7 linked regions of the Cricetulus griseus genome follow. The protein of the gene in region 7 purifies or fractionates together with the protein of the main gene of each other region. This does not show direct contact. Links are inferred from orthologs where the notes say so. Each region holds a gene or a part of one and is shown on either strand. Other genes may lie near its edges.

Region 1 (4,770 bases), on a different chromosome or scaffold from region 7:
CTCTGACATGCTTTCTTAAAGACAAGGATTACCTATATTACATTTTACCTTTCATCTACAGCATGTAATATTATATACCTCTAAAAAAGCCACTGAATGATCAATGCATTCACACACCTAACACAATACAAGACAAAGAGTGAGAGGAACAAACAAAGAAAAACCCAACAGAAATGGAAATCTTGGATCTTTATTCATCAAGGATGGGGAACTGTCAGGTTAGGTTCTCTTCTGGATTTGGTTCAGAAAGAGGGGCATAATAATACTTGCTTAATTAACTAGCATGTTGGGCAGATTAAAGTGCTTTGTAAACATTAATTAAAGATGCAGGGAGCTAGGTGAGTCCAATGTGTTATTAGAGAAAACGTCTTCTTCCCTTTAATCAGGTAGCTCTTCTTCCTGGGGAGGGCCAAGGTATGATCTAATGACCGAGGAATTGGACTCAGCCCTGACAGCTGCCTATAAGCCAGTCTTTTTGTGCAGCCAGCCACTTCCTTACTTTTCTGTGAAATGGGTATAAACACAAACATTCTGGGAATATAGATTGTTGCAATGGCTGTCGTTCCAATTAACAAAACACATGCCCCTGGCTTTCTCACCAGTAACACTAACTTCCACCCACTTACAAAAGGCTCCCACAATTAGCTGTTGTTATTAGCTATTCAGAAATATTTCTGGTGGTAAAAGACATAGACACAAACTGCAGGGTCAAAAGCTGAGCATTTCTTCAGCCTTGGCTACCTCAATATCCCTTCTCTGTAAAGTGACCATAAGAAACCAAAGCACGAGGCCCTGGAGATGGCTCATCAGGTTAAGGCGTTTGCCATGAGCCCCAAGTTTTAGCCTGTGTGCTGCAAGAAAGCACCACCTTCTGAAGAATGCCCTATGACCTTTAGGTTCGTGAAGCAATTCAAGACACACACAAATGAGTAAATAAATAAGTGGCTGTACCAAAAGAAACCAAAGTTCTCAAAAAAAAAAAAAAAAAAGCAAGGAGGATCTTGAGATTTTTCATAGAAAAAAATTGATTATTTGAGGAGCTGTAGCTATGTTTACTCTGATTAAAAAAAAAAAAACTCTGTTCAATATGCACGAGTACAGGAACATTCCACAAGTACCTCACAAACATATGCAGCTCTTACAAGTTCATTAAAAAAGAAATAAAGCTGGGTGTGGTAGCACACACGCCTTTAATCCCAGCCAGGCAGATGGAGTTCCCTGAATTGGAGGCCAGCCTCGTCTACATAGTGAGTTCCAGGCCAGTCAAGGCTATATAGAGAGACCCCTTCTCAAAAAACAAAAACAAAAGATCTACCCCCAAGAAAATTAAATAGGAAAAAAATAAAATAAGCACTGTCCAAACGAATTAAAAGAAATAATGTTTGTCACATGTCTGAGAGTATAAGTATTTCATTAATGGCTGCCGTTGTTATTATTAAATGAAAATAATCTCTCCAAGATAGTGTTGCTGTTGAATGCCTGTAATTCCAGAAGTCAGGAAGCTGAGGCAGGAGGATCACAAATTTGAAGTCATCCTGAATGGTGAAACCCTGCTTCAAAAAACAAACACGAATGAAACTCTCAAAGTTGGTGGAGAAGTCCCCTTTCGTTCAGGACTTCAAAAGCACATCCGCATAACGATGTCACATGGTTAACCCTTATTTCAGTCTCATAAGTAAAAGAAGACCTTGAAAGGTGGCCAAAGGCGCAGCTAGGGGTTTTAGGCTCTGGTCCTTTAAATATCGCGGGGGCGCGCACTGTACTTCTGAATAACTGGAGTCCCGAGGCCGGGAACGCGCGGCAGAGATGCGGAGCGAGCCGCCTGGTGGCGGGAGCGCGCACGACAGTGAACGCGCAGAGGGGAGGTGCCGGGCGCACCGGGGAGCGCGCGGCGAGCCGTCCGGGACAGTCGGCGGGTGTGCGCGGCTTGCAGACGGGTGGACTGCGTGAGCGCTCCGGGTCGCAGTCGGCGTGGACACCTGCGGCCCACGGAGGGGACCTGGCTCGGTGAGTTCGACCCTACTGAGCTGGGACAGGCCGGCCGAGGGGCGCGGCAGCAGCTGTCCGGATCATCGAGGGCACCGGGTCCAGGTCTCTGAAGTTGGAGAAGTTCTTTGCTCGCAGCTGGGGCGCCCGTCGTCGCCGAGGTCAGTGCCACCCAATAGCCTTCATCCCCGGTCTTAAGGGGTCGCGACGCGTGGCTTCCTCAGGAAAACCTCAGGGTTTTCCCGAAGGCGAGCGCTCTGTGGCTCACGGCGTGTAGTCTGCGTGCGTTGGGTCCCTGACTCTCAGGCTTTAGTCCCCACTGCCCTTTCCCAGAGCCTGGGGAGGGGATCGGCGCCCGACTGCGCGCGGGGACCGTGTCCCCTGAGAGGCTGAGACCCGGGAGGTGGTCAGAGCCACCTGTTAAACCGGGGTCCTGCGCGAATCTTTCTGTAGGTTTCCGTGCCCCCGCCAGTTTCTCGCAAGTAACTGAATGGGACACGGCTAATGGGACACGGCTTAACAAAAGGCAGTCAAACGGCAGCGTTTCTCCAAGACGGAAAGTTTCCCTGCATTGTTTTACAGATTCTAAATTTAAGCCACTACCCCCCCACCCCCACCCCGGCCACTTAGCCGCAGGACAGCATTTAACTCTTTGCCTGAACCTATTCGGTGTAAAGGAATGTGTTTCCCCCAAACAGAGAAAAACTTTTTTTTTTTTTTTGCTTTTCGAGACAGGGTTTCTCTGTGCAGCTTTAGAGCGTATCCTGGCGCTCGCTCTGTAGACCAGGCTGGTCTTGAACTCATATATAGGTGCGCCTGCCTCTGCCTCCCAAATGCTGGGGTTAAAGGCTTGCGCCGCGGCCACCACCACCGCCCAGCCCAGAGTAAAATTTTCAAGCCCTGCTATCTTTCTGGTTCCAATTGTAATAAAGAACAACAATAACAACAAAAAGCTTTGTCCCTGAGCGATCAAGAAACACGAAACCAGGTATTAAGTGTAAACTTGTGGAAAGTGCTTGCAGAACAGACCTGTATGAAAAATAATTTTCTGTGAGGTGCTCCAGTGTGTGCTGAAACTTTGCCCTCATATTCCAAGCCTGAATGTTCCAGATTGTTTTTCTAGGTGGAGGAGGTATTTTCGTTGGTGCAGCCAATGTGGAAATACAAACAAATGCCCTATTTACTTGGGGTTGGGTGGGAAGGGTGGAAGTCAGCTAAGATCTTTCTTGCCAGGCTTGACAGTGTATGTATGGAATCTTGTGTGTTTTCTTGCCCAGACGGAGTAAAGGCCTCATTTTCAGTGGCTGGATAGGCTCCTTCTAACATTGCCTCCAATGAGCTTCTCCTGATAATTTTAAAGTACATTTTCTCTACTCAGAGAAACCAGAAATTTGAAACTAGAGTAAGTGGCAGTTATAAAGAGGAGTTGTGCTTTTGAAAATAACTGAGTCTGTTTGACCTTATAGTTCTTTATTGCAGAGGGATTGGCCTGTTCTAATGCAGGCCTTGGTGTAGCTAGCTAGTCGTTCATTCATCGTTATGTTTGTAGTCTGTTTGACCATCTCCTATGTGCTGAGCCCTGACTTAACCACTCACTGCACATGCAAGAATTTCTAGATAAGGGCCATATGGTCCAAACTGATTAAAACCAGATCTGGTAACCGTGCCTTCGTCAGTGGCTGACAAGACACCTGGCCTTGATTCCAAAGTTCTCAGACACCTCAGGAGCCTGCAGTTGGCACCTTGTGTTGATCTGAAGATCAGCTCGGGTGACTACTAGAGGCAGAACAGAGCCTGAGATGGAAGGGAGGGAAGTGAAAGCCCTGGGTGGAGCAGAGCAAAGCACAGGGAAGCCTCTGGACAGAAAGTTCAAGTGCATCTTATCTGCATTGTTACGGGATGAATGCCAGTGGCATCAAGACCATTTGGTAGGTGCCAGGGGAATCCTAGGAGCATCCCAGAACTCGAGCACTTTTGATAATCGAGGGCAGCATTTCATTTCGGTTTCCATTGCACTTTCTGGGCGTGAGGTGAAGGCTTCCTCATGGGTGCCCTACAGAGGACAGGCTGTCTCCGTCCCCTTTCTGAGTGCCTCTACCATGCTGGGACTTCCTTCTCTGCATGTAGTGACATCCCTGATAACAGCCTGTCTGTGAAGAAGCACAGTGAAGTTTCTCCTCTCGGTAATGCCATTGTCTCCTCTCAGAGTAGCAGCACCCAGTCTTGACATTCGAGAGAGTTTAATGAGAGCTGGAACTGTACTCATGCTCTGTGCGACTTAGCATCCCACCATTTTGGAGCAGTACTTGCTAGCTCTTATGAATGGATATCATCATACTAGATACTTTAGCACTGGGAAAACTTGATTCGCATCTCCCACTCCTGCCCCCATCAGGTTCTCATTTAGCCTAGGCTGGCCTTGAAGTTGGTACCTGACAGTGGATGACCTTGAGCTCCTAGCCCACCTATCTCTACCTCCCAGGTGCTGAAATGGTTCTCATTTTTAAAAATGTCCATTGCATTTATTGTTGCTTTTATGTGTGTGTACACATGTGCACATACATGTGTATGTACCACAGTGTGAGTGTAGAGGTCAAAGGACAACTGACAGGGATGGATTCTCTTTTTCCACTCTGTGAATTTCTGGTTTAGAACTCAGATTGTCAATTTGGTGGCAAGCACCTTCACCCACTGAGCCATTTCACCAGTCCAATTATCATTTTTTTATTGTAAAATATAAAGTACATAATTACATACAATTTATCATCTTAAAGTCTATTAAAG
Region 2 (4,557 bases), on a different chromosome or scaffold from region 7:
TCTTTTATCTTACAAGAAATCTAGAGAGTCTCATATTAAGCAATTTCAGGAGAATATTCGATTAAATAAGAGAGTTGTGTGATGAACAGGAGTACAAACCGAGCCTGGCCACCTGAGTGAAGCCACAGAGAATAAACAAAGGAAGCCCTGAATCAGGATGACCTCCATCTGCTTCCTAAAATCTGACCCTTAACCTCAGAGTTTCAGGTGGAAGTTTCCTTGACCTCTCTTTTGAGAGCAAACTTTCTAGATTTTGCTGACCAATTCTTTCCAGTGTCTTTGTAGAAAAGGTTTTCTCTGATGTGTCATACTTGGATCCAGTTTGGAAAGCTGAGCAGTTAAGGTGTCAGAACTTCTCATTAGGAGCAGGTTGTTTTGTTTTGTTTTAAAGGCTTTGATCTGTGCACTTGGACTGAACATTCCAGTCATTCATCTTCCAGAATTTCAAGTGTGGGATTGGGTTGTCGGTTGATTTGACTGATTTGATGACATCACAGAGACAGTTTGAATGCCTCCATTTGATTTTGTGCTTTCAACACATCTTTAGGGACCTGGAACTTTAGGGACCTCCTTACCATATGGTCTCAGCAAGGTGATAAATTTTCAGATTCTGGGAGTTGGCAGGAAAAAGTAAGAATGGAATTAGAGGCAGGATGGGGGAAGTTAAGTGTCTTGGCCTAACTCATTCGTGCTAACTCCCCAACCATGCATTTCCAATCGACCATTTTGTCAAAGGTTTGTGTGTGTATATTTGGGTTTTCACCTGCACGGAGAAGTTGCTGTTCTCACAAAAGTATTAAGACATCACTGATACTTGGTGGTTTTTCTGGATGGACCCCTGGGGGGGGGGTCTCCACCTTCCTTAAAAAGAGAATCGAACAGAAAGGCACCTAGCTGAGGGGCTTAAAAACAGCAAGGCACAGACTTTCAGCGGAAAGTTGATCGTTTTAGAGGGTGAGCATCGAAGATGCGATTAAAAAAAAAAAGCTGGGTGTATATAAATCAAGAGGATAGAAGTGTTCAGAAGGCAAGAGTTGGGAAATATTAAGAGAGGCACCTCGATGGAGCTAGTCGAAGTGAGGGATGATGGTTCCTCGACCGTAGATCTTAGATTTAGCATCCAAGGGCCTGACATCCAGTTCGGTTTGTGTCCTGCTAAGTCAAGAGTTTGTCAGCCCATCGCCTCCGGAAAGGAAGCTTATTTTCTTTTGCATCCTGGGGTGTTTGTCTCCCCAACACCAGCTCAAAGCCACGCGGCTCGCTTGCTTGCTGGTTCTTGGTCCCTTGGGAGCGGCTGCTGCAGGCTAGCGGGTGGGCGGGGCGCCGGCGTCTGCAGCGCGCAGAGGGTTAAGCGGCAGGGGCGGTGCGCGCGGGAGGCGGGAGGGGGCGGCCGGGCTCCGGGGCTGAGAGCGCCGCGGCCGCAGCCAGCAGCGGGTTAAGCGCCGCCCGCCCGCCCGCCCGCGCCGAGAGCAGAGCCCCGCCGCTGCTCCGAGCTCGCATTCGGATCCGCTAGAGCAGGAAGATGGCGACGGACGGCGCGAGCTGCGAGCCCGACTTGTCCCGCGCCCCGGACGACCCGGCGGGGGCCACGGCGGAGGCCGCGGTAACCGAGTTCCCTGGGCTCCGGGAACGGTGTAGATGCGGGCTGGGGGTGGTGCCCCGGTCCCCGCCGGACACTCCCCGAGGGATGCCCGGTGCTTCCCTGGAGTGCCCCCTTACTTCCTCGGGGTTCCATTTCCTTCTCCGAGGTACACCTTCCCAGGGGTGTCCCCTTCCTTCTGGGGTGCCCCCTCCCTGGTGTGCCTCTTCTCCTGGATGCCCCTTCCTTCCCCCGGGGTGTGCCCTTCGGATGTCCCTTCCCTGGGGTGCCTGCCCCCAAGGCCAGAAGCGGATTCGAGTAGCGCGACGCTACCCCCGCCGCCCCCGAGGTGCTAGGAGCCCGTCGGTCCTTCTGGAAGCTCCCCGCATGCGTCCTTGGGGACCCCTTTGCCCACTGCTGGGGTGCTCACGGAGGATCTCAACCCCCATTGTTCAGCTCCGCCAGGCACCGAGCAAATGCTAGTCTCGGGGTGCCTGACACCTCTTGGGAGACCTGGGGAAGCAGCGAGGGAAAGGCGACCCGTCCGTCGCCAGGCAGGTGTGGAGATGCTCTTTGTGTGCGGGGGTTCGTGTGTCTCGGGGGGGGGGGGAGGACGCCCCGTGGGAGAGGCCCCGCGCCCAGCTGTGGGTGCTGCTGCAACTGAGCGCCAGCACTTTGGGTCCTAGCTGCCTGCTGCTCCATCAGTCATCGGTAGGGACCTTCTTCCCCAGGCGGAGTGGCACTGAGCTGGGGTTTCCGAACCTGGTGTCAACACATTGTTCCTTTCCCTAGCGTCCTCTCTTGCTTAGGCGCCTACCTGCTCCCTTTTTTGGTACTCTTGAGTTGTCTGCACGCACAGACGCTCCCCGGTGGTTCCCACTCCCTCTGTGCCCCGCTTGGGGGGTCTCAACCCACAAAGCCAGCTTGGAAAACGTTCGCAGGTCTGGGAAACAGCTTTTGCCAGAGCGGCAAAGATGTGCAAAGAAAGGCAGGTCTAGGAGCGCCTCCCAGTCTTGGCCAAATCCCGCAGCTCTCTCGGAAGATTCTGAGTGGGACCGAGGGAGCTGAGCAGCCTGGCATGGACGCCCAGGTCCGTATCTCCCATCTCCAGAGCCCAGACCCGGGCTGGGCAGGACCAGGTGTAAACAACCTGGGCAGTTTAATTCCCTCCCCTCTGGAGGGAGGGCTTGCTAGGAGGAGAAGGCAGGGGTGTGGAGGAAGGTACCTGGAGGCAAGAGCTGCGAGAGGAGAATAGGAGGGGTCAGGTACTAATTCCCATTGGTGAAAATAGAAGACTCTGGGCTAAAGTTTTGGGAAAAATAGCGGGTTTTTTTTTCTAATAAGAACTTTAAAGATATTTCAAATGAAACCTTTCCACTTGAGAAATACTTTCATTCTGAGAGTCGGGGACAACGAAGAAAATGGCTATCAAAGCAAAAGTCCCTCTGGGAAGCTGAAACTATTGAGTGTCCTGTTCTCCATGAGGGGGAAAGTGGAGGTGTGGGGGTCGCGCTCCTTCTCCCCCCAGGAGGGTGGATAGTTTGTTTAATCTACTTGGAATACACAGCTTTGTGCCCACAAGATATTTCGGCCACCAGGCAAACCAACACAAAGCATGCAGTTTATGATATGTAAGACTGTAAACAAAATTGCATCGTCAGGAATACTGCTGTGCCAACAAGGTCAGTGTTGCTGTCGGCTGTTTAAAATTGTCAGGAGCCCGATTCAAAGGCTGCTAAGTTGGCAGCTTGATTGTTCTGCTTTGGTTGAGGGAGAATAGCCAGGCAAAATCTCACCGACTGGGACCTCCTCCGTTATTCCCAAGGGATCCCTTAGGCTTCAAATCTGCAGTAACAGTGCTAAGGTATTTGAAGTAACTGTCTACTTTTAAGAAAGAATGTGGTGGCTTTTTATTCAGTAAAACTGGACTTCATTGTTTACAAGTAGTTGGACTTGAAATATGGGGACTCTTATGTTAGCTACTTGAGTAAACTGGCATTTTTTTATTATTTTGAGGATCACATGTAGCTAAAGCTTATCATGAAATCATGGTTCTCCTATCTCTCTGCCTCCTGAAGGCTGGGGTTAGTAGTCCTTACCACCACCCTGCCTGGCTTTGACTTATTATTATTATTATTATTATTATTATTATTATTATTATTATTATTATTAAAGAAAAGCTAATTAGAGAAATCCTGTTTGTCATACTTGTTCTTCTTCTAATGGTTAAAAATTAAAACTATATTTTGCCAACAAAGGACTTAATATATATTTTTAATTATAGTGAGGAATTCTCTTTTTGCCTCAGAGAGATTTATTTCATTTCAAATTGGTTTACGTCTTGTGGAATTTTATATATACATTTGGCAGAATCAAGCTAGTGAAGCCTCCAAAGCAGTTGGCTATTTTTGAAAGTGCATGTTTTTAGAGGGCTTTTTAAAAATTCTATTTAGATTGTTGCTTAGGAACTGGTTTAATTTATAGTTTGCAGTTTAATATAATTTCCAGTGGAGTGTTTTAAATTTAGTTTGTTATCCTTGTTCTTCACTGTTTAAATCCTGAAAGCACCTCGAGTGTAAAGCTGGCTAACAGCTACATTATTCAATAGGATCATATTAATAGTGTGATCCATGCCGGGAGCCTGGGTTATTTTCAGTGCCTTAGCCAAATGGGATGACTTTTATAGGCCATATTGCTATTTCTGCTCAGAATACAACTCTTATGGTAGGCAGTATGGAAAACAGAAATCTGCTTTTTATTGTCACTGGAATTTGGGAGTGAGAAGAAAATGGAGATCCACTTACAGCTGTATTTAGGGAGGTGACTAGCATTGTGTTCACTCTGGGCTTTTGGGATTAGCTAATATGCAAAGTGTAGGTATAGATTTTGCTGTGAGAGTGGAAATCTCGGCATTGTTTCCACTGAAAATTGTACATTGGTGTTAAATTTAATGACTGGCACCTGGAAAATTTTGTCTT
Region 3 (4,550 bases), on a different chromosome or scaffold from region 7:
GTGTCTGGTGGAGGTCAGAGGAAAACCAGTGGGCATGGTTCTCTTCTACCAACTTGTAGAATCCAGGAGTCAAAACTCAGGTTGTCGGGCTGTGTGCAAGAACCTCTAACTGCTGAGCAATCTCACTTATTATTTATTAATTAATCTTAACATTTATTTATTTATAGGGGTTTAGGCACAGAGGTCAACTTATGAGTGCATCCTGGGGATAGAATTCAGGCAAGCACCTTCACCCACTGAGCCTTCTTGCAGGCCCCAAAAGGTTTTATAAAGAAAAAAGTATCGGGGTAGTGGTGGCACATGCCTTTAATCACAGCACTAGGAAAGCAGAGGCAGGCCTGGTCTACAGAACTAGTGCCAGGACAGTTAGGGCTACACAGAGAAAACCTGTCTCAAAAAACAAAAAGAAGAAAGAAAAGGAAGGAAGGAAGGAAGGAAGGAAGAAGGGAGGGAGAGAGAGAGGGAGGGAGGAAGGGAGGGAGGGAGGGAGGGAGGGAGGGGGAGGGAGGGAGGGAGGGAGAAGTGAAGCAAATAAACTTACCTAATTCATTTTTCCAATTTATTAAAAATTGAATTTGTAGCCGGGCGATGGTGGTGCACGCCCTTAATCCCAGCAAGTTCCTGGAACTTGCTCTATAGACCAGGCTGGCCTCGAACTCACAGAAATATGCCTGCCTCTGCATCCCGAATGCTGGGATTAAACATGTGCACCACTACCACCTGCCTGTTTATATTGCATACTGAACTAAAATTTAGTGTATCACTGGCTGTTTTCCCCACTTACTCCCACAAGTCCCCTGCCCTCTACTCTCTATGGCATCCCAAGACAATAAACCGGTAAAAGGCGATCTGGAATCCATACTGTTTTTCTTTTCTATCCATTAGCGAGTCACAGTTCTTGGGTGTGTTCTATTAGATAAGGGAACTGCCATCTCACTTGTGTGTCATTATATTTCTTGGGTGCCACATCCCTAAGTCCACTGCCACACTGGTAAGTGTAGCCTTCAGTAGTTTTGCATACAGTCCCAGTCCTCATAATCTAATCTTAAAGCATTGACAGCATCCCAAAACATAGCTTCGATTTGAGACCTGAAATACTAATGTGTGTGTGTGTGTGTGTGTGTGTGTGTGTGTGTGTGTGTGTGCGCGCGCGCGCGCGCGCGCGCACGCTATTTGTATACACAGGTGCAGTTGAGTATGTGGAGGTCAGAGGACAACCTCAGTCACTGTTCACCTTTTAAAGGAATGGGAAGGGAGGGAGGGAGGAAGACAGGAGAGAGGGGAGGGGAGTAAGAAGGGAAGAAGGGGTGGGAAGGAAGAGGAAGGACAAAGAGGAAGGAAGAGAGGAGGGAGAAAGTGAGAGGTTCCAGTGTGTGTTCACTTGTGTGGGGGGGGGGGGAGGTGTTTGTTTCATCGATTTGTTGAAAACCCATGACTAAATAACAAACCACATCCATCAAAACCAGAAGAAAAGGAGAACTGAGACAGGAACAGCTGTAACATCGTGAAGAACCAGAATTTGGGACCAAGTCGACCTCTGCGGCTCCACCCAAGAAAATCTGCGGCGAAGCCTGAGTTACCGCGAATCCGCCACTGCGCAGACGCCGACCAGGCTGCCCAGGCGCCTTTAAAGTGTGCCCGGAAGTGACGCGATCGCGCTGATCTCAAACTGGGGAAGGGCTGAGCGAATCGCTGAGGCTAGCGGGCCGGGCGGGCGTCCTCGGCCACTATGAGCTGCACGATCGAGAAGATCCTGACCGACGCCAAGACGCTGCTGGAGCGGCTGCGCGAGCACGATGCGGCGGCCGAGTCGTTGGTGGACCAGTCGGCCGCGCTGCACCGGCGGGTGGCGGCGATGCGGGAGGCGGGCGCCGTGCTGCCCGAGCAGGTCGGGCCGGGTCGGGCCGCGCCCTGGGCGGTGGGCGCTGCGGGGAGAGGGCAGGTGGGGTCACCGTCTAATTATCCTGGTGCGGAGGACAGGGAGGGCTTGAGAGCTTCCTGTGGAATGGGTGGGACTGCTGCCGCCTCTGCAGCACCTGCTGTGTTTGCAGCGGCTTAATCAGTCTCTCTGTCCAGTATCAAGAGGATGCACCCGACGTGAAGGACATGTCTAAATATAAACCTCACATTCTGCTGTCTCAAGAGAATACCCAGATTAGAGACTTGCAGCAGGAAAACAGAGGTTAGTCGGGCTGTGTGTGTGTATGTCTAGTAATACTTTGAACGTTCTTACACAAGTGCCTGAATAAGTTCATAAGCTTACACATCTCATAACTAGGGTCAGTGCTTAAGGTCAGTGCTTAAGAGGGTCATCTGGTAACAATAAAGTCTATTAGGTTGCTCTTTTTTAAGTCTTTGAAAGATGAGTTTGAAAGAGTTGTTTAGTAGAGTTGAGTTGTTTGGTGGTTGGGGTGGGCACATACCAGATGGAGGCTTATATAACTAAAATTCAGAGTCTCAAAATGTAATTTCTGATATATGTTAGAGTGAACACTAAAGTTAATATCGAAGTAGGTTTTTTTTTTTTATTTATCTATTTTTTTTTTAATGTTCCTGGGCAAGATGGAAGGCTGAACTTTGTCTCCAGAATATACATTCTTCGGGTTGGTAATGACAACAGTATGGCAGTTGTCTTGCAGAGACCTTTTTACACCTTCCGTTCCATCCCCTGTTGTCATTTTGAAGTCCACAACCCAAGTGTTTACACAATGCAATTAAGAAACAGGTTCACATGAGCCAGCAAGATGGCCTAGCAGGTAATGGCACCAGCCTGAAGAGCCAAGCCTAAGGACCAGAATTCCATTGGAAGGAGAGAAATGACTCCTGACCACACATGTACACTGTGGTATTTGCACACAAATCAACAAAATGTGATAATATTTTTTTTAAATGGGCTCATTTTGCTTCTGAGTCTTAATTAAGCAAGTAAATGAGAAAACTGAATTCAAATCTGTGTCTTATGATTACATATCCCATTTCCTTCTACAAAAGTCCACTGCCTAGAAAATTGTTTTTCAGATAGACTTTACTCACTTCTGTGGGCTGGAATACCAATTTCCAAGTTTGGATTCACAATATCCCATGGAGTATCAGAAAGCCCCAGCTGTTAGGAGGTTTGCCTTGAGACCTGTTACAGACATCATTGCCCAGATGTTTGCTTTTTTGTTAGAGCTGTGGGTTTCCTTGGAGGAACACCAGGATGCTTTGGAACTCATCATGAGCAAGTACCGGAAACAGATGTTACAGTTAATGATTGCTAAAAAAGCAGTGGATACCGAACCAGTTCTGAAAGCTCACCAGTCCCACTCTGCAGTAAGGAAACCCTGATACATAAATTATAAATAAACCAAACTGAAATCCTGAGTTGTTGTTTTGTTTGCAGAAAAGCATGTTCCTCTTTCATGGTTTTCATAGTCACTCTATCTGACTGAAGCTTTGTGAAGATATGAATAAAGGAAGGGGACGGGGGCTTCTCACATCCTTTTGGATGGTGTCACCTCTCTCACCAACATCTATTTTTCAACCTGAGATAGGACAGTTTAGAGTTGTAGGCCAACCTGGACTACATAGCAAGCTAGATAGCAAGCAAGATGGCAGCTAGCGTTGAAGGCATTCCGTGAATACTTTGCTGATTACTTGTATGTTCTACTAAACCATGAGTTTTGTAGTGTTGAGGGCATTAGTTCAGTTTTATCCATATCTTCCACATAGCAAGTAGTCACTAATTTCATTAAATTATTCACATTATGTTACCGGGGAGTCTTGTTCATTTTGTGGCAGTTCCTCTATTTTAGTTTTAGTTGCTTACTATTTAATTTGGAAAAAACTAACTAGTTTTTAGTTTCTACAGTGCTTACTTATTATATATTTGCATGTATTGTGTATTTTAATTTTTAGTTCTTAAATTGGAAGCTACTATTTACTACAGTGAAAGATACAATTTACATTTCATCTCCCATTCCATTAGGTGGATTTTACTGACTTACAAGTTTTAGGGAACTGGGATGTCTTTAAATATCTAAATATTTGAGTTATTGTCTGTTTTGTTACTTGGGGATGGGGACGCTAGGTCCCATTTAGTCCAGGCTGGCTTGGACTAATCCTTAACTCCTAATCCTTTCTCCTCAGCCTCCCAAGGACGAGGATTATGGGTATGTGCCACCACACCTGGCACCTGGGTGTCAAATGGTCTTTAGAAAAATGGAAATTATTTGACGTACCACAGATTTAAATTATTGTGGCTCAAAAGATAGTGTAATTGAAGTGTAACTTCTATAGTATGTACTAAATGAACCCCTCCCAGTTTATTTCTGCAAGGCTTTTAATAGACTTAAAATTCATAATGCATATGCTTTTCATGGTCTTAATAACTAAAAACTATTTTTTTTATCTTACTTTCACAGGAGATTGAAAGTCAGATTGACAGAATCTGTGAAATGGGAGAAGTGATGAGAAAAGCAGTTCAGGTGGATGATAATCAGTTTTGCAAGATTCAGGAAAAACTAGCTCAACTAGAGGTAAGGTGGTTGCTGTTTAAGTTCACCCTTATT
Region 4 (4,022 bases), on a different chromosome or scaffold from region 7:
GCCCTGTTTGACCAAACTGACCAAATGTAATGTTTTTCCTTTAGGATTCTGTGCGCCTGCTAGCCGTGGAAGCTTGTGTCAGTATTGCCCAGTTACTGTCCCAGGATGACCTTGAGGCCTTGGTAATGCCTACACTTCGGCAAGCAGCAGAAGATAAATCTTGGCGGGTTCGCTATATGGTAGCTGACAAATTTTCAGAGGTAAAATGCATTGGCATTTCTGGTATTGAAAACCTCAAAGGCATTTGCCCTGCAGATTTTCTATTAGATACAGCTTACACATTCTATTGAATAGCTTTGAATATAGAATCAAAATTAAAAAAGAAGACAATTAATCTTTCTATTTTGGGGTTAGTGAGATGGCTTGGTGGGTAAAGTGTTTGCCATTCATGCCTGCCAGCCTGTTGTGGTTATAGCATACATTTGAAGATTGTATTAGTTTGTTGTTATTAACTGTTTTTGTTAGTGTACATTAAACCTGTATAAATTGTTTTTTAGCTCCAGAAAGCGGTGGGCCCTAAAATCACACTCAATGACCTCATCCCCGCCTTCCAGAGCCTCCTTAAGGACTGTGAAGCTGAGGTCCGAGCAGCCGCTGCCCACAAAGTAAAGGGTGAGTCCGGCTATAACTCCTTTGACTTTGATATCTTGATTTGATGTGATTTTGGTGTGGTGTTTTTATGAAAATAGTACTGAAAATGTACAAATCAGGAAAAAAAAATCAGTCTGCGTCACAGCATTTCCATCCACTTTGAGGTGTTTGTCATGTTAGGAAGTTTGGGAAAGCTTGAATTGATAAGATGTTGCAGACAGAGATGGTGTCAGCATGCAGCTGCTGCTTCATAGGACACATTACACCCGCTGTATCTTGTTTCTTTCCTTTGAACTAGTTTGCGACACCGGGCATTTAGACCATGCTATGAGCAGCAGATTCATTTTTCCCATTAGAGTTTGTCTGCTTTCACATGCAATATAACTTGGAACTTTTGGGAAGACTGGTTAACTTCCGTTGGCTCCTTGATAGCATTGCATTTTCTGTTTATCTGTTTCAGAACTTTGTGAGAACTTGCCCACTGAAGGTAGAGAGACCATAATTATGACTCAAATCCTGCCCTATATAAAGGTGAATGTGACTTCATTTTATTTTGCTTACTCTGCCTATGAAGCTGTTAGCATTTTAACAAGGACGAGGCATAAATGAGTCAAATACATGACATTTGTGACAATATTTAGAGTTTATTTGTGCATGTCATAATTGTACACTATTGGTGGGTGCTTAGGTTTGTTACCAGGGGGTGTCTGGGTCGGCTACTCTGTTGCTGTTGACTTGGGAGGTGGTGTAGAGACTTGTTGTCTTTAATTTTTAATCTGTTTCAGGAATTAGTGTCTGATACCAATCAACATGTGAAGTCAGCTCTAGCTTCTGTAATTATGGGATTATCTACAATTTTGGGCAAAGAGAATACCATTGAACATCTTCTGCCTCTTTTTTTAGCTCAGTTAAAGGATGAGGTGAGTCTGGCTATGAATTGTTTTGCCTTGATGTCATTGATTTGATGTGATTTTACTGAAATATAGGACCTAAAGTGTATAGATGGGGGAAGAAACCATAATTTTAAAGATATTTGACAGTCCTCTTGGAGTATAGTGCTACAGTTCTCAAAAATGAGCACAAGGGACTTACTGAAAGACAAACAAACGTAGTTGGATGTGGTGGCTCTTGCCTTTAATTCCAGCACTAGGGAGGCAGAGGCAAGTGTATCTCTGAGTTCGAGGCCAGCCTGGTCTACAGAGCAATTTCCAGGACAGCCAGAGCTATATTGCGAAACCCTGTCTCAAAAAACCAAAACCAACTTAAACCAACTAAAAAAAAAAACTAGGTGCTGGAGAGGTGTATGGGTAGTTAAGAGCACTTACTATTTCAAAGGACTTGGGTTTGGTTCCCAGTACCCACATGACAGCTCACAACTCTAGTTTCAGAGGATTGGATGCCACCTTCTGACCTTTGCAGGCACCAGGCACACTCATGATGCAAAAACATACATTCAGGCAAAACACTCCTACATATAAGTCTTAAAACCACCCTGAAATACCTGTCTTTTAAATTTTTATATTATACTCATTGGTTCCCTATTTTTAAAGCCTAATATAACTTAGCCTAAACAGTGTCTTTTATTTAAGGTTTGAAATATAGCATCTGATATTAACATATAGGGGTTGGAACGATGGTTCATCAGATAAGAGACCTGCTGCTTGTCAAGGACCGGGGTTCCAGTCCTAGCATCCACATTGAGTGTCCCACAACTACCTGTAGCTTCAGCTCTAGAGGATCCCTCTTCTGTCCTTCATGGGCACCCACACACATAGAAAATGTCCACATGACACAGACAATACATATACCCAAAGGAGAAATTAAAAAATTAGTGCTAGGCATGATCTGAGTGCTTTGTAATGCCAGTAAATGTAATTGCACCAGTAGGTTTAGGTCTTGGGTTACTCCCAGATGTGTCTGAGGAAGCGAGGCACAGGGAGATAAGATGATGTCTCCAAGCAGTGGCAGATCTAAGATTTGAGTACATAGAATTTAATTTCAGGGCCTGGGCTTTTTACCATCTCATAGACTTTGTGCTTATTTATTAACTAAAAGTCTAAAAAACTTTATTGTGCATGTCCGTGTGCATGCATGTACATACATGCAGAACTCAGAGTCTATCCTTCATCCATCTTTACATGGGTTCTGGGGTTTAAATCCTAGTTGCCAGGTTTATGAGGCAAGTGCCTTTTCCTGCTGAGCCATCTTGCCTGCCAATTTATTATTTTTTAAAATTGGTGTACAAAATAATGAAATCTCATAGGCTTTTTCTGACATTCTGGTTAAGATCAGTTGCATTGTGTCTTGGATTATCTGTGTATTTAGCATTTAAGATTTCCTTCTGCCTGTAGTTCTTTTGGTCAGTACTGGCTTTTGAGCCCAGGGCTCTCTGCTAGCTGACATGTTTTACCACGAAACCATATCTCAGCTCTGTGTCCCCCCTCCCCCCCCCCCACACACCTTTTTAAGCCTGAGTCCGTACTGAATTTTATTTAGCACTTTTTATTTTATCATGCCATGAGGGTACTGGGCAAAGGAGTTCATTTTCACATGTAGTCTTTGGACTTTTGTGTTTATAGTGTCCTGAAGTTCGTTTGAATATCATCTCCAACTTGGATTGTGTAAATGAAGTGATTGGAATTCGTCAGCTCTCTCAGTCTCTCCTTCCTGCCATAGTGGAACTGGCTGAAGATGCCAAGTGGAGGGTCCGCCTGGCTATCATTGAGTATATGCCGCTGCTGGCAGGCCAGCTGGTGAGTTCATGGGCTCTGTGAGCAGTAGGGTCTGTCAGATTGTGGAGCTGAGCGTGGTGAGTGGGAGGCCAGTTGTCAGTCTGGTCTGGTTCAGTTAGAGGCATTGAGGTAAATTCTTGTGGCTTGTGGAATGGTTTTTATTTTCAGTAGTGCAGTAAGGCCTAACAGAAGGGTGTTCTAGAGACATACTCACCTTGCTGCCCTCCTCATGATAAAGGTGTAGAGTGTATTTGGATCTGTGGAAGAACATACGGTTTCAGGATGAGTCACTTCAGCTTTTTGTTCGACTCTGTCCTAAGCAAATGAACTTAGAAGCATTTTCCTGATGACATATAGTTGGGGATCCACCACACAAAGAGCTTATAATGCAGACTGTTTTGGATAAAGTCCTGTTATCACACTGTCTGCTATTCTTTGGGTTTCATTATTAATTTTATTCTAATCAGTATGACTAATTTAAAATTTCAAAGCTGGACTTTATAGCCACATGCTTCCCTTTCTTTCTCAATAGGTACAGACAATGAGAAGCTCGATGGCCCTCACACCATGGTAGCCCCTAGACTCTAAGGGCTTAAAGAGTTCTTGAATGTATGGCTGGGGAGATGGATGAGTGATTGCTCTCAGCACAGGAGCTGTGTGGTGTTTCATTTCCAGTGGCTATTGTAGTGCATGTTATTA
Region 5 (4,022 bases), about 7.5 Mb from region 7:
CAACAACAACAAATCCTTAAGAGAGCTTGTCAGTGGGAAAGCAATAGAGCCAATGTGTGTAGTGTGGAAGATGAGAGCAGCCTGTGTGAGCAGGCGTCAGCCTGTGAAAGGCAGTGTGCTTTGTGAAGGAGTGGCCCTAATCACTGTGAGGTTTTCTCTCTGATCACAAGGGAAGAGGTGCTGAGAACAGAGAAAAAGGCTGTGTTTGAAGAGTTGGTGAGAAGGCTCCAGGGTCCTGGGTTCCACTGTGTACTCTTAGGGTCCCCAGGTTCTCTGTGATGGATATGCTCTGTAAAAATCTTAGAATGAGGCTTGCAGTTTGGGATTTGCATGTTTCCAAGAGTCTGGAAGTACTGTTGTAAGTGCTGTTTATTTGATGGAGCTGTGTTTATACTATGTTTAAACTGAATTCCTGAATCTGGAAAGGGAATTCTCTATTACTCTTTTATTCAGTTTTGTGGTTCTTCTGGTTGTTGTGAACATGGTGGGTAAAAAAAAAAGCGCTCATGGATAGCTGACCCTGGCACTTCCTTCTAGATCTTTTCAAACATAGAACTTGTATTCTTGTGGTCCCTGCCATAGCTGGTTTTTCTTAATTGAAGGTAACTGTCCATCTCTGCGCATAGCTGTAGGTTCCACATGAAGAGACTTTGCTGTGTACTCTTTAGAGGAAATACCTTTTGTAACCTGCTGTGGTCACTTAGAAATGTGTGACACTTTGAGAGAGTTTGATGTGCTCATTTTGTTGTTTCAAAAGAGCAATCATATATGGCTTTTATTTGTTTTGTTTTGTTTTGTTTTTACAGGTATGAATCTCCAGAAATAGCTCTTAATTGTGGAATAATGTTAAGAGAGTGCATCAGACATGAACCACTTGCAAAAATCATTTTATGGTCGGAACAGTTTTATGATTTCTTCAGATATGTTGAAATGTCAACATTTGACATAGCTTCAGATGCATTTGCTACGTTCAAGGTAACATTTAAAGACTTGAATTCTAAACACACTTGCAAGTCAGATCAGGTTTGCAGTTTCCCAATCTTTGTCTTCCTCCACTACTCTATACATGACTGCCCTCTAGTGGGAGTAGAAGAGATGCATTTTATATGTGTTGGTATGTTTTAGGTATTTGTAGTAAAACCACAAAAAAAACCAGCCTAAATTAAATTCTCAAATCTTATCAGAAAGGCAAAAGTCCTCTAGGGTCAAAATTGTATGTAGGGGACTGGATACTAACATTTTCTTTCTACAGGACCCCACATGACTATCATCGTCCCATTTCAGCAGGAAGTAACTTGGAAAATGCTACGCCCCCTTTCCCCATTGTTGTCACTTAGGATAGTGTATATACCTTGTTAGGAATAGCTTCCTATTGTTTATGGTTCGGTTTGGAAGGAGGTGTTCAGGCTTGGACACCTCTTTCAGATGACTTTAGGGTTTAGTTAAAATAGATAGTTATCTTCTTATATTTTACCTTTATACTGTTAAGTTTTAATCCTCTTTTAGACTAAAAGGGGAATTGTAGGGGAAGCTGTAGCCACGCCTTCTTAGGGGCTGGCTACAGGAGTACCTGAGGGCTTGTGAGGGCGTGGTCAGAGTGAGTAGGGGGACTGCGTTTCGGTTTCGGTTTCTCTTTGCTTCTGGCTGTACAGACTACCACCGGCTGGCTGGTTCGCTCTGTAAGTAAGGCTTTTCCATATTAAATACCCTTATATTTCTACCTGACTCCGTATTGGTAATTTACTACTATAATTGTACTTTCCTGTTAAATTATCTTTTAAGTATGGCATAGATAACATACACAATACCCAACGGCCAGGCTTTCTCTTGTAATGGGCATTCTGCAGCACTCCTTTGGTTAGCACTAGACACGGTGATGTATATTGGCCTCTGCTCAGAGGCCATGTTTTTGGAATATATGTTATTAAATACAAGAACCATATTTAGTATGGAGAAACTGTTGTTGACATGCCCACCTCCTCACGGCAGAGCATAACTGAGTCACCTCAGAGGAACAGGACCATCCCTCCTGCCTCCCTATCCCATCCCCTCTGCCTCAACTTACCTCCCTGTGGAGTTGCATATACTGAATGTACATGTGACCACCAGTTTCTTTAGTTGCAAGCTTCTGTTTATGAATGAAGCAGCAATCTTGTATTTTCTTTTTTTCCCCAATGAGAATAAATCTTGATGTATTGCATTTCCTTAAATGTCCTTAAAAGTTGTTGAATTAGGGTTTCATATACTTACATGTAGCTCACTCACACACAGAAGCAATGAATACACAGTGAGAAAAAGCTCACTTTCCTTGTAAGAGCTCAGCTTTTTAATAAGGAGCCCCTGAGGTAAGGACTTGGTCTCTGGGTAAAGTACATATGTGAGGGTGCTGAATATATTAGGACAAGATGAAAGCCTGGGGACTGGCCAGTAGGGTTTCACCCTGACTGAGAATAATGTCACAGTTTTAGTGGTGCCAAGGATTTATCTCCTAGAGTCAGTACAACCTCCACAGAAGCTTTAGGTGAAACCTTACATACATATATGTAACTGTCATGTACAAAGCAAAGTGAAATGAATTTGAGATCATAACATAGAGTGATCACTATGATGTCTTACCCCACCACTTCAGTGATACCTAGGACTCATGAGAATGCCTCGATGGAAGGGGGTGCCCCGTTCAGGAACAGCAACCCAGCATGAAGGGAGGTGTAGTAGCACCCAAGTCAAGGAGAGAACCCTGTATGCAGAGAGACAGCCAGGAACCCGAGAGTGGCAGTACTCTGGGCACAGGAGGGTGAGGGGAAAGGATTGAGGAACAGCAGTGGTGTGGGAGCCCCCTGACCACAGGGAGGACATGGATGGCATGCTGCTGGCACAGATGGCCAAACTGGCTCCAGGGTGAGAGATACGTGCTGGCTACATGCCAGAAGTGTGATATCTGATGGTCTTGTGTGGCCTTGCTGGTAATTTCATCTCAGCCAGGGTTGCTTCTCCCCAAGGAGAAGATGGTGGTGATAGAGCCACTGTGGGTAACACAGTCCTGCCAGGTTATGGTAGCAAGAAAGGGGAGGATTTGGCAGAGCTAGGCAGGTGGTCTCTCCTTGAAGAAATGCATTTCAAAAACCACTTGGTATTCAGAGGATGAATTGCTCCAGAAGAAGCTCTGAGCCAGTCTGGCTCTAGATCCCGGTGTTCCTGGAGACACAGAAAGGGAGAGCTCATGAGAGGCTCCTAATAGTGAACAGAGCGTGGACTATACATGTGCAAGGAAGAGAGACTACCATCCGATCTCAGACTAGCCAAGTACCAGACAGATCCAAGCTACTTTATTCCCTGATGGAAATTCTGGTCAGAGCAGGAGGACCACCCTGAGGGACAGTAAAGGTGCCCGTGAGAAGTAAGCAGGGCTCCTCCTTTCCTGTTGGCTGGCATCTCGCTACAGAGGTGGCTTTCTGCATGTTAAGCTTTGAGAAAACATATTCTGCACAGTTTTCAGACACATGCAGTTTGTGGAACAGGTGCTGTGTCTTCACACTAAAACCATCCTTTCTAAAGGTGTCCCGGATCCAGAGCTTGACTGAACACTGAGCTAGCAAACCAGATGGCCAAATACCTGCTAGTGACTGGGGGTTTGTTTTGAGGGATGAAAGAAACAGATATTTATCATTCCAGAATAAAAAAAGAGCGTAGATTCCCCCAGAAAACCCAGCAGAGCTTGGAGCTTGAGATTACACCTGTGACAGGTCTCAAGAGTGTTTCCAGAGAGATGAAATGTAAGCATGCATTGCTAAGAGAGAGTTTGATCTGCTAATCCTGAGAGTGCACAGATCAGGAGTGCTAAGGGTGTGTGTGCTAGTTAAAAGTTAGGTAAGATACGAGTCCAAAAAGTACACATCATTGCCATGGTGTGTATACCAAGCAAGTTGCTGTAAAGTGAAAATTTGAGGGCATGCATGCTGGATAATTACCAGCCCTGCAGGTGTTCTCAAGGAGTCAAGGGAGGTGCGCTCACAACTAATTGA
Region 6 (2,941 bases), on a different chromosome or scaffold from region 7:
CAGCAGCGGGGCTCAAAGGGGTGTCTCTATTAACATGAGGCTGTGATATTGTGGTTTGCTACATCTCCCTTTACTCCAAACACGTGGCCAGCACTTGAAGGAGTATGTGGTTTCACTCATTTAGATGACCAGTTGAGGGCTAGTTAGTTTAGTTGTGCCTTTCTATGATCTGATGATTGGGGCTTCATTTGGGGCTGTGGCAAATGAAGGAATCCTTGTGAAATTGATTCCTCAGTTGACTGACTGGCTCCAAGCCACATGTAGTTGCTTTGGTAGGTAATCTTAACATGCGATTCTACTTGTCCTTTATGCTATACTGCAAACTCCAAACATACAATCACACTAATATTTATGTGCTTAAGTGTTGAACATGTAAAGGGGCATGTAACTATACAGATATATGTATACTTCCATTTGGGCAGAAGTTAATTTGGTTCCACAGTTACAAGTGCTGGCAGCATGGAGAATAAATGTAACAATTTGGTAAAACCTGTATAATTCTGACCTACAATATTACAAAGAGTGACTTTTAAGTTATTGCTTTTTGATTACAGAATAAAGAGCTCATTAGGTCATTTCCTATTCAAGTAAAAGCAACCAGAACCAGAAGTTCCCAACAGTCGATGCTTGAAGGTGGTTTGGAATGGAGATGTGATTTCACTCTATTCTAGAACTGATGCAGGAAACTGAGAATGACTTAATTTTTCAAAAGTACAAGAAAATCAGCACCCTAACTGCTTAGTGCTCAGGAGGGTTTCTCAAGGGCTTAATGAAGCGCAAGGCTCAGCCTGGCAGAGATCACGCCCCTTTAGAAGGATTTCCACTCCACGTATGCAAACCTTGGTTTGGAACACAAAGCTGGTATTGAACAGTCGGAGAGGATTAAAAGCAGTGTTGGCTTTTGACATTCAGATTCAGAGGATCTCATTTTCTGCAATAAATGCTCTGTCTTTCGGCTCTGCCGGAGAATCACATTCATGTGGCAGTCTTATTTCAGGCACTTTTAAAGCATGTTCATCTGGGATAAAAATCTGCATGAACTGCTTCTGCATAATTTGAAATGAGTGCTGAGTAATTCTAGCTCCCAAACTGACAGCAGATCACCGCCAATTAGCTATCTCCATCACAACATGCTGGTGACTGCTGAGCTTGAGATGTCTGTGGGGTCCCCTTCTAGCTTAGTACAAAGAGGTGAGTCATAAAACCCAAAGTACTCAGTTTCTACTTAAAAAAAAAAAAAAAATACAAAAAGGTAAATACACTGAATGTATTATACAGATGGCTGTAGCTACTATCAAAATAAATAATATGATCTGACTCCAAGGTTTAACTCTGAGCTCTTGGATGACATCTGATGGAATGTCAAGTGTGGAGACTCACTCCAAGGGACTAGCTGCTGGTGGGCAAAAGTATCTCAACGTCTTTGCCGTTGGCCACCACAGCACTGGGAGAGCAGCTGCTGGCAAGGTCTTCTGTACTGGTCAAGGATGATGCCTGGGAATGGGTTTTGGTCACTGCAGTGGCCGCAGATTGGGACGGGGTGAGGCCAGGTTTTTTTGGGGGGATTGGCGGAGGGTTTCCTCTCTCGGCTCTGGGTATGGTTGGGGACTTGATTCCTGGAGATAGGGGGCTCAGAGGGCTGGACACTTTCCCTGGAGTAGGGGAATGGCTGGTGTCACCTCTTGGGTTGGCAGTGTTGGCCAGATTTCGGTAGTCTGTACCGAAGGGAGAGCTGTTGGGAGAGACTGGCTTGATTGGCCCTTGGTTAGTGAATCTGGAGAGCACCTGTGTGACCGTGTTTCGGGCCAGCTGCTTGGCAGCAGAGTTGTCTAAAAGGGTAGGGGACAGGTCCCTGGACGGAGGGCTCTGGAGACCACTGGCTTGCTGGTCTTGGTCTGCTTGCGATTGAAATTTGTGCCGAGCCGCGTGGAAGCGCTGGTTGATCCCTACTTGGTAGGAGGACTGGTAGCCGGGGCTGCTGACTGATGACCCCAAGAGACGCTTGGTTAAAACTGGTGAAGAGCAGGGAGATGACGTCAGAGAGGAGGAGGCAGTGCTGCTGGGAGACAGTGAGCTGCCACTGGAAGGGAGGTGACTTGGCATTGTGACTGGAGTTTCAGTTCCTACAGGACACCCACCATTCTCCATTGGTTTCTCCTGGGCCGATGCCACAGACTTCTCTCGTGGAGGCCCTTGGTTTTCTGTGCTGCTGCCTGAGGTCAACTCCCTAGCAGTTTGGATTTCTGGGTCACAGTGGCCATTGGCTTTTGCATATGAGTAAGCAGGAGTGGTGGGGCATGGAAGACCAGTGTCTGTCAGCTTGGCTATGATGCTCCCGTGGCTTCTTTCCATTTGAACATTCTCTGTTTGGCAGAACACAGACACTAGCATGGGGGGCTCTGTGGCTGTGCCTTTGGACGTGGTTACTGGCTCTCTGCACTGCTCACTGGTGCCACTGTGCCGCTGGGCAGCCTCGAGGTCTCTCACAAACTTCTTCAAGTTTTCCATTTCCTCCTTCAGGGCTCTGGTCCGGTTCTCCTCTCGGTTCAGTTTGGCTCTCAGCTGTTCCCTCTCAATATCAAACTCAGACAACTGCTTCTCCACCTGGGCCTCTGTCTGCAGGCCTCGCTTCCTCTCAGCGGCCAACTCCTCCTCCAGCTTACTCACCCGGCTCTTCTCCTTCTCCAGTTTCAGGCTCAGCTCTCCGGCCTTCTGCCCTTCCTCGGCTGCCTTGCTGGTGGCCTTCTTGCACTCAAGCACGAGCATGGACGAGAGCTGCTTGTGGCGGGAGCGCTCCTCTTCCAACTGACTAGACAGCTTCTTTTGTTCTTTTTCAAACTTTTTCACTTGGGACTTTTCAAATTCCAACTAGAAAAAAAGAAGCCACCACACATCTTGATTAGAGTAGGAAAACAAAAGGATGCACTGAAAATTATGATCA
Region 7 (4,022 bases):
GGGGAAGGGATAAAGAGATGGCTTGGCAGTAAGAGCACTTGATGCTCTTTCAATTCCCAACACCAGCAGCATGCGGCTCCTGTTCCGGGGACATCCACCAACCTCTTCTGGCCTCCTCAGGCACGCACGTGTACACGCGCACGCACGCGACACATATAGGTAAAAATAATAATAAATTAATATTTTTAAAAAGAAGGGCCAAGCCAAGCATGGTGGCACATGCCTTTAATCCCAGCACTCGAGTGGCAGGTGGCTGAGTTCCAGGACAAACAACTACACAATGAGACCCTGTCTTAAAAACAAAATAACACACACACAAAACCAAACAAAAAAAGGAAGCATACACCTTAATTCCAGCACTTAGAGACATAGGCAGATCTTTTGTGAGTTCAAGGCCAGGCTGGTCTGCAGAGACCCTGTCCAGAGGAAGGGGCAGGAGAAAAGGTCTTACTGACCACCCAGCTACCATACCTCTGGTACAGGCACTTGGTGGACAGACCAAGTGCCCAGAGCAGTCACTAAGTCTTTTTCAATAGCCCAAGTGCCCTCCTGGCAGACCTCCACAGTACTGCCAGCAGGGACCCCTTAGACTGTACCTAACAGCACCCACAGATAAGACAGCTGGGTCACTATGACCACTTTAGAGCCACCTGACTCTTGTAGATTGTACTTCTCAAAAGAACAGACTTTTTTGTGAAGCTGAGCTTTGGGGTAAAGGGGAGCCTCTTTGCCCTTCCAGAGGGATCCCCATGTGCCCAGCAGTGCCTTTCTCTGCTCTCCTCTACCTTGGGTACATAGTAACTCCTCTGGAAACAGGACAAACCCTGGCACAGAGCCTTCAGTGCCCCCCCACTCCCATAGATGCCCCCTCTCCTGGCAGCACCTTCAGGTAGGAGCCGAAGTAGCGGGTGATGTAAGGGCTGTCACACTGGCTGAGCACAGTGATCTCCTGCTGGATGTCCTCAATCTCATCCTCTGCCTCTTCCAGGTCAATGATCTTGATGGCCACCACCTCCTTGGTTTGGTTGTCGATGCCTTTGTACACCTCCCCAAACGAGCCCTTGCCAATGCGGTCAAGCTTGGTGAAGAGTTCCTCTGGGTCCACACGAGAATTCTACATAAGCCAGAAGGGACAGAATGCTGAGACAACACCCACTAGAGGAAATACTAGAAGAGGGCTGACTGCTGACTGAGGGTCTGGGCCACTGCAAGGAGCTAAAGAGAACTCACCTCAATCCTTTTCTGGCTTCTTTATCCCTTGTCCAGAAAACCTAAATGTAACTCTCCACTCTCCAAGTGACACTATATTCAATAGACTTGATACAGTGAATCAAAGTATCTGTAGACTCAACTCAAATGTATATTTAGAATCAAATGTATTAGCAATACCACATCTCAAAGTGCCTTCTTCAGTTGTCTAACAGAGAGCCAGGCCAAGACCTATCAGGAATGACAGGTAGGAGTATGTGCGTGCCAGAGGGTACTGTAAAACTCATTTTACTATAAATCTAAAACTGTTCTAAAAAAAAAAAACAACAAAGTAATGGACTGGAAAGATGGCTTGGTGGCCAAGAGCACACACTGGTCTTACAGTGTGTGCTCACTGCTACAACCTTAGCTCCAGGGGATCTGAGGTCTCTGGCCTTGGAGAACACCTGCACTCACATGTGCATAGCCCCAGTAATTTAAAAGTAAAATTCATCCAGGCATGGCGCATGCCTTTAGTCACAGCACTCAGGAGGCAGAGGCAGGCAGATCTCTGAGTTCAAGACCAGCCTGATTTACAGAGCTAGTTCCAGAATTCCAGATAGTCAGAACTGTTAAACAAAGAAACTCTGTCTCAAAAAATCAAAAACAAAACGAGAGATTAAAATTTAGCAAAGCTAACTTATGTTTTCCATACTTAAAGTGCCTCTCTATTCTCAAATTAGTCCTCTAGCCAGCTACATTCTCATACCAGTACTGAGTTGAACACTTTCTCAGATGTTTAATTCTAGATACTAAACACAGAAGCATTTGTACCTAATATAAGTCTCTGGGAGTTACTTGGGACCTTAATGTGGTGGCGGGCGGAACTCAGATGGCCTGGTGGAAAGCGTCCACATGGCAGCAGGACTCAGGCAGCTGGGCGTAAAGATTTATCATTACAAGCTACCCTAGACAGCCCTCAGATTTAACTAGGATCTTATCATTGCTGAACCGATCATGTTGAAGATGAGCCAGGATGGCAAAGGTGTGTGCTCTGTCCAAACCACGCTAGGTTTTGAATCAGGGCTGCCTCCAGAGAGGAAAGAAGCAGAAGAGCCTCTCCCAGGGCCACCACTGAATGTCCCTACTGTGCTACCTGGCAGACTGGAAAAGAACATGTTCTCCATACCACTGGCCACGCTGGCACAAGACCTCAAAGGGGAATGCTGAGTCTCATCCAGGTTTTCAACCATGCTAAGTTTCACCTCCATTAGGAGATGGTCACCCCAAAAGGATGTCCCCCAAACAGTATTTTGGTGCCTGTTAAAAGGAACCCAAATCAGGCGGGTAAGATGGTTCTTCTGGTAGAGGCACTTGCTACCAAGACTAACAACCTGAGTTTGGTTCCCTAGACCACATGGTGGAAGAGAACTGACTCCCAAAGCTGTCCAGTGACAACACACATGCCATGGTACACACACGGAGAGGTGTTGTTTTGTTTTTAAGGGGGGGACCATGGAAATAACTCAGTGGCAGAGCACTTGCCTAGCATGCCCAAGGCCTGGAATTCAGCTCCCAAATGGGGGGGTGGGAGGCCGAGACACAAAAAGGCAAAACCACACTTATTTACAACTGTCTAAGTACTGATGCGCAAATCCCTCTGCTTAGGGAAGAGCCTGTCCTAGGTGTTTACCATGTTTCTAAGAAGCCTGTCCTCCAAAACTGACATAGCTGCCTGATTCCCTGAAGCCTAACTGCCCCAGCTTCTTCTCTGCAAGCAAAGCAACTGGTTTCAGACCCCATCTGAGACAAAATTGCCAACTAGCTACATTCTTAAGGTTTTTAACCGTGAAAGAAGTAAAGGGAAGAGACAGAGGACCACACTCCCCAGCCCTCGACAAGCCAAGAACTGCAGAACAAGATGAGGTGAGCAGAGAGAAGTTCGGGGAAGAACTCCAGGCACAAGGGCAGTGTCTTAACACAGAAGTCACCTAACCCCTCTAAGCAAAGCTGCCTCCAAGAGGCCCGAGTGTGTGCCACAGTGCCATGCCTGGCCCAGAGCAGGCACTCTGAGCAGACTAGCTGTGGTGTCCGTATGTGCTCTGGTTTGGCCAGGGGGCTAGAGAGATGGCTCGGTAGTTAAGAGCACATGGGTTTGGTTCCCAACAGCCCACGTGATCTCAAGCACTTCCCACATGTGATGCACACATGCATACATGCATATACTCACACATACACGTAAAGTAAATAAACCTATTTTTTTTTTTAAAGAAGATGACGACAACAAAAAAGAAAAAGGAAGGAAGGAAAAGAAAAAGACCAAGACCAGATGGCTCAGTGGGTAAAAGCACTTGTCACCAAACCTAACAACCTGGGTTTGATCCCTGGACCACATGGAAGGAGGAAACCAATTTCCATAAGTGGTCTTCTAATATTTACACTGTGGTACATACATACCTACCCATCCAAAAATAAATGTAATCATTAGAACTGGCAGCCAAATCCTAAGACCAGTTCTCACTGAGCAGCAGTAGATGCTTGGAGCAGAACTGCAGCCTGAAGTCCTGAAAGGCCACGCTGAGATTTGGCCAGACAGATAAAGCTGAGTGCTGAGGTCCCTTAGGCTGCACTGGCCAGGGAGTAGTGTTTGCCCCCAGGCTCTCCTGATTAATCCCATGTTCAAGTGTAAAGCCAAGAAAAATTCTCTCAAGTGTGGCTGATAAGTCAGATAGCTCCGTGGTTTCAGACTGACACTGGGCCCAAGCCGGATCAGAAGTACACACCCCAGGCCATGCACTCTCAGCACACTCATGGCTGTAGGGATCACCAATAAA

Evidence for each region.
Region 1: the proteins of Stk25 (region 7) and Proser2 purify together in Homo sapiens (affinity purification with mass spectrometry; 3 studies listed by BioGRID and IntAct, counting the BioPlex papers as one, with this or other methods). This does not show direct contact. The link is inferred for Cricetulus griseus from reciprocal best matches to the Homo sapiens genes STK25 and PROSER2.
Region 2: the proteins of Stk25 (region 7) and Cttnbp2 purify together in Homo sapiens (affinity purification with mass spectrometry; 3 studies listed by BioGRID and IntAct, with this or other methods). This does not show direct contact. The link is inferred for Cricetulus griseus from reciprocal best matches to the Homo sapiens genes STK25 and CTTNBP2.
Region 3: the proteins of Stk25 (region 7) and Sike1 purify together in Homo sapiens (affinity purification with mass spectrometry; 4 studies listed by BioGRID and IntAct, with this or other methods). This does not show direct contact. The link is inferred for Cricetulus griseus from reciprocal best matches to the Homo sapiens genes STK25 and SIKE1.
Region 4: the proteins of Stk25 (region 7) and Ppp2r1b purify together in Homo sapiens (affinity purification with mass spectrometry; 3 studies listed by BioGRID and IntAct, with this or other methods). This does not show direct contact. The link is inferred for Cricetulus griseus from reciprocal best matches to the Homo sapiens genes STK25 and PPP2R1B.
Region 5: the proteins of Stk25 (region 7) and Cab39 purify together in Homo sapiens (co-immunoprecipitation; 3 studies listed by BioGRID and IntAct, counting the BioPlex papers as one, with this or other methods). This does not show direct contact. The link is inferred for Cricetulus griseus from reciprocal best matches to the Homo sapiens genes STK25 and CAB39.
Region 6: the proteins of Stk25 (region 7) and Cttnbp2nl purify together in Homo sapiens (affinity purification with mass spectrometry; 6 studies listed by BioGRID and IntAct, counting the BioPlex papers as one, with this or other methods). This does not show direct contact. The link is inferred for Cricetulus griseus from reciprocal best matches to the Homo sapiens genes STK25 and CTTNBP2NL.

What each region holds. Positions count from the first base shown.
Region 1 is NC_048596.1:223,303,406-223,308,175, reverse strand, and holds the start of Proser2 (proline and serine-rich protein 2), read left to right. Parts: upstream 1-1,872; 5' UTR 1,873-2,147; intron 2,148-4,770.
Region 2 is NW_023276806.1:208,097,257-208,101,813, forward strand, and holds the start of Cttnbp2 (cortactin-binding protein 2), read left to right. Parts: upstream 1-1,413; 5' UTR 1,414-1,522; coding exon 1,523-1,603; intron 1,604-4,557. UniProt on the Homo sapiens protein: Regulates the dendritic spine distribution of CTTN/cortactin in hippocampal neurons, and thus controls dendritic spinogenesis and dendritic spine maintenance.
Region 3 is NW_023276806.1:53,975,489-53,980,038, reverse strand, and holds the start of Sike1 (suppressor of IKBKE 1), read left to right. Parts: upstream 1-1,428; 5' UTR 1,429-1,729; coding exon 1,730-1,888; intron 1,889-2,076; coding exon 2,077-2,182; intron 2,183-3,169; coding exon 3,170-3,312; intron 3,313-4,403; coding exon 4,404-4,517; intron 4,518-4,550.
Region 4 is NC_048597.1:162,638,270-162,642,291, forward strand, and holds part of Ppp2r1b (serine/threonine-protein phosphatase 2A 65 kDa regulatory subunit A beta isoform), read left to right. Parts: intron 1-44; coding exon 45-200; intron 201-497; coding exon 498-612; intron 613-1,051; coding exon 1,052-1,122; intron 1,123-1,376; coding exon 1,377-1,511; intron 1,512-3,170; coding exon 3,171-3,344; intron 3,345-4,022. UniProt on the Homo sapiens protein: The PR65 subunit of protein phosphatase 2A serves as a scaffolding molecule to coordinate the assembly of the catalytic subunit and a variable regulatory B subunit.
Region 5 is NC_048595.1:437,527,760-437,531,781, forward strand, and holds part of Cab39 (calcium-binding protein 39), read left to right. Parts: intron 1-806; coding exon 807-975; intron 976-4,022. UniProt on the Homo sapiens protein: Component of a complex that binds and activates STK11/LKB1. In the complex, required to stabilize the interaction between CAB39/MO25 (CAB39/MO25alpha or CAB39L/MO25beta) and STK11/LKB1.
Region 6 is NW_023276806.1:51,981,571-51,984,511, reverse strand, and holds part of Cttnbp2nl (CTTNBP2 N-terminal-like protein), read right to left. Parts: intron 2,869-2,941; coding exon 1,390-2,868; 3' UTR 1-1,389. UniProt on the Homo sapiens protein: Regulates lamellipodial actin dynamics in a CTTN-dependent manner. Associates with core striatin-interacting phosphatase and kinase (STRIPAK) complex to form CTTNBP2NL-STRIPAK complexes.
Region 7 is NC_048595.1:445,073,035-445,077,056, forward strand, and holds part of Stk25 (serine/threonine-protein kinase 25), read right to left. Parts: intron 1,115-4,022; coding exon 884-1,114; intron 1-883. UniProt on the Homo sapiens protein: Oxidant stress-activated serine/threonine kinase that may play a role in the response to environmental stress.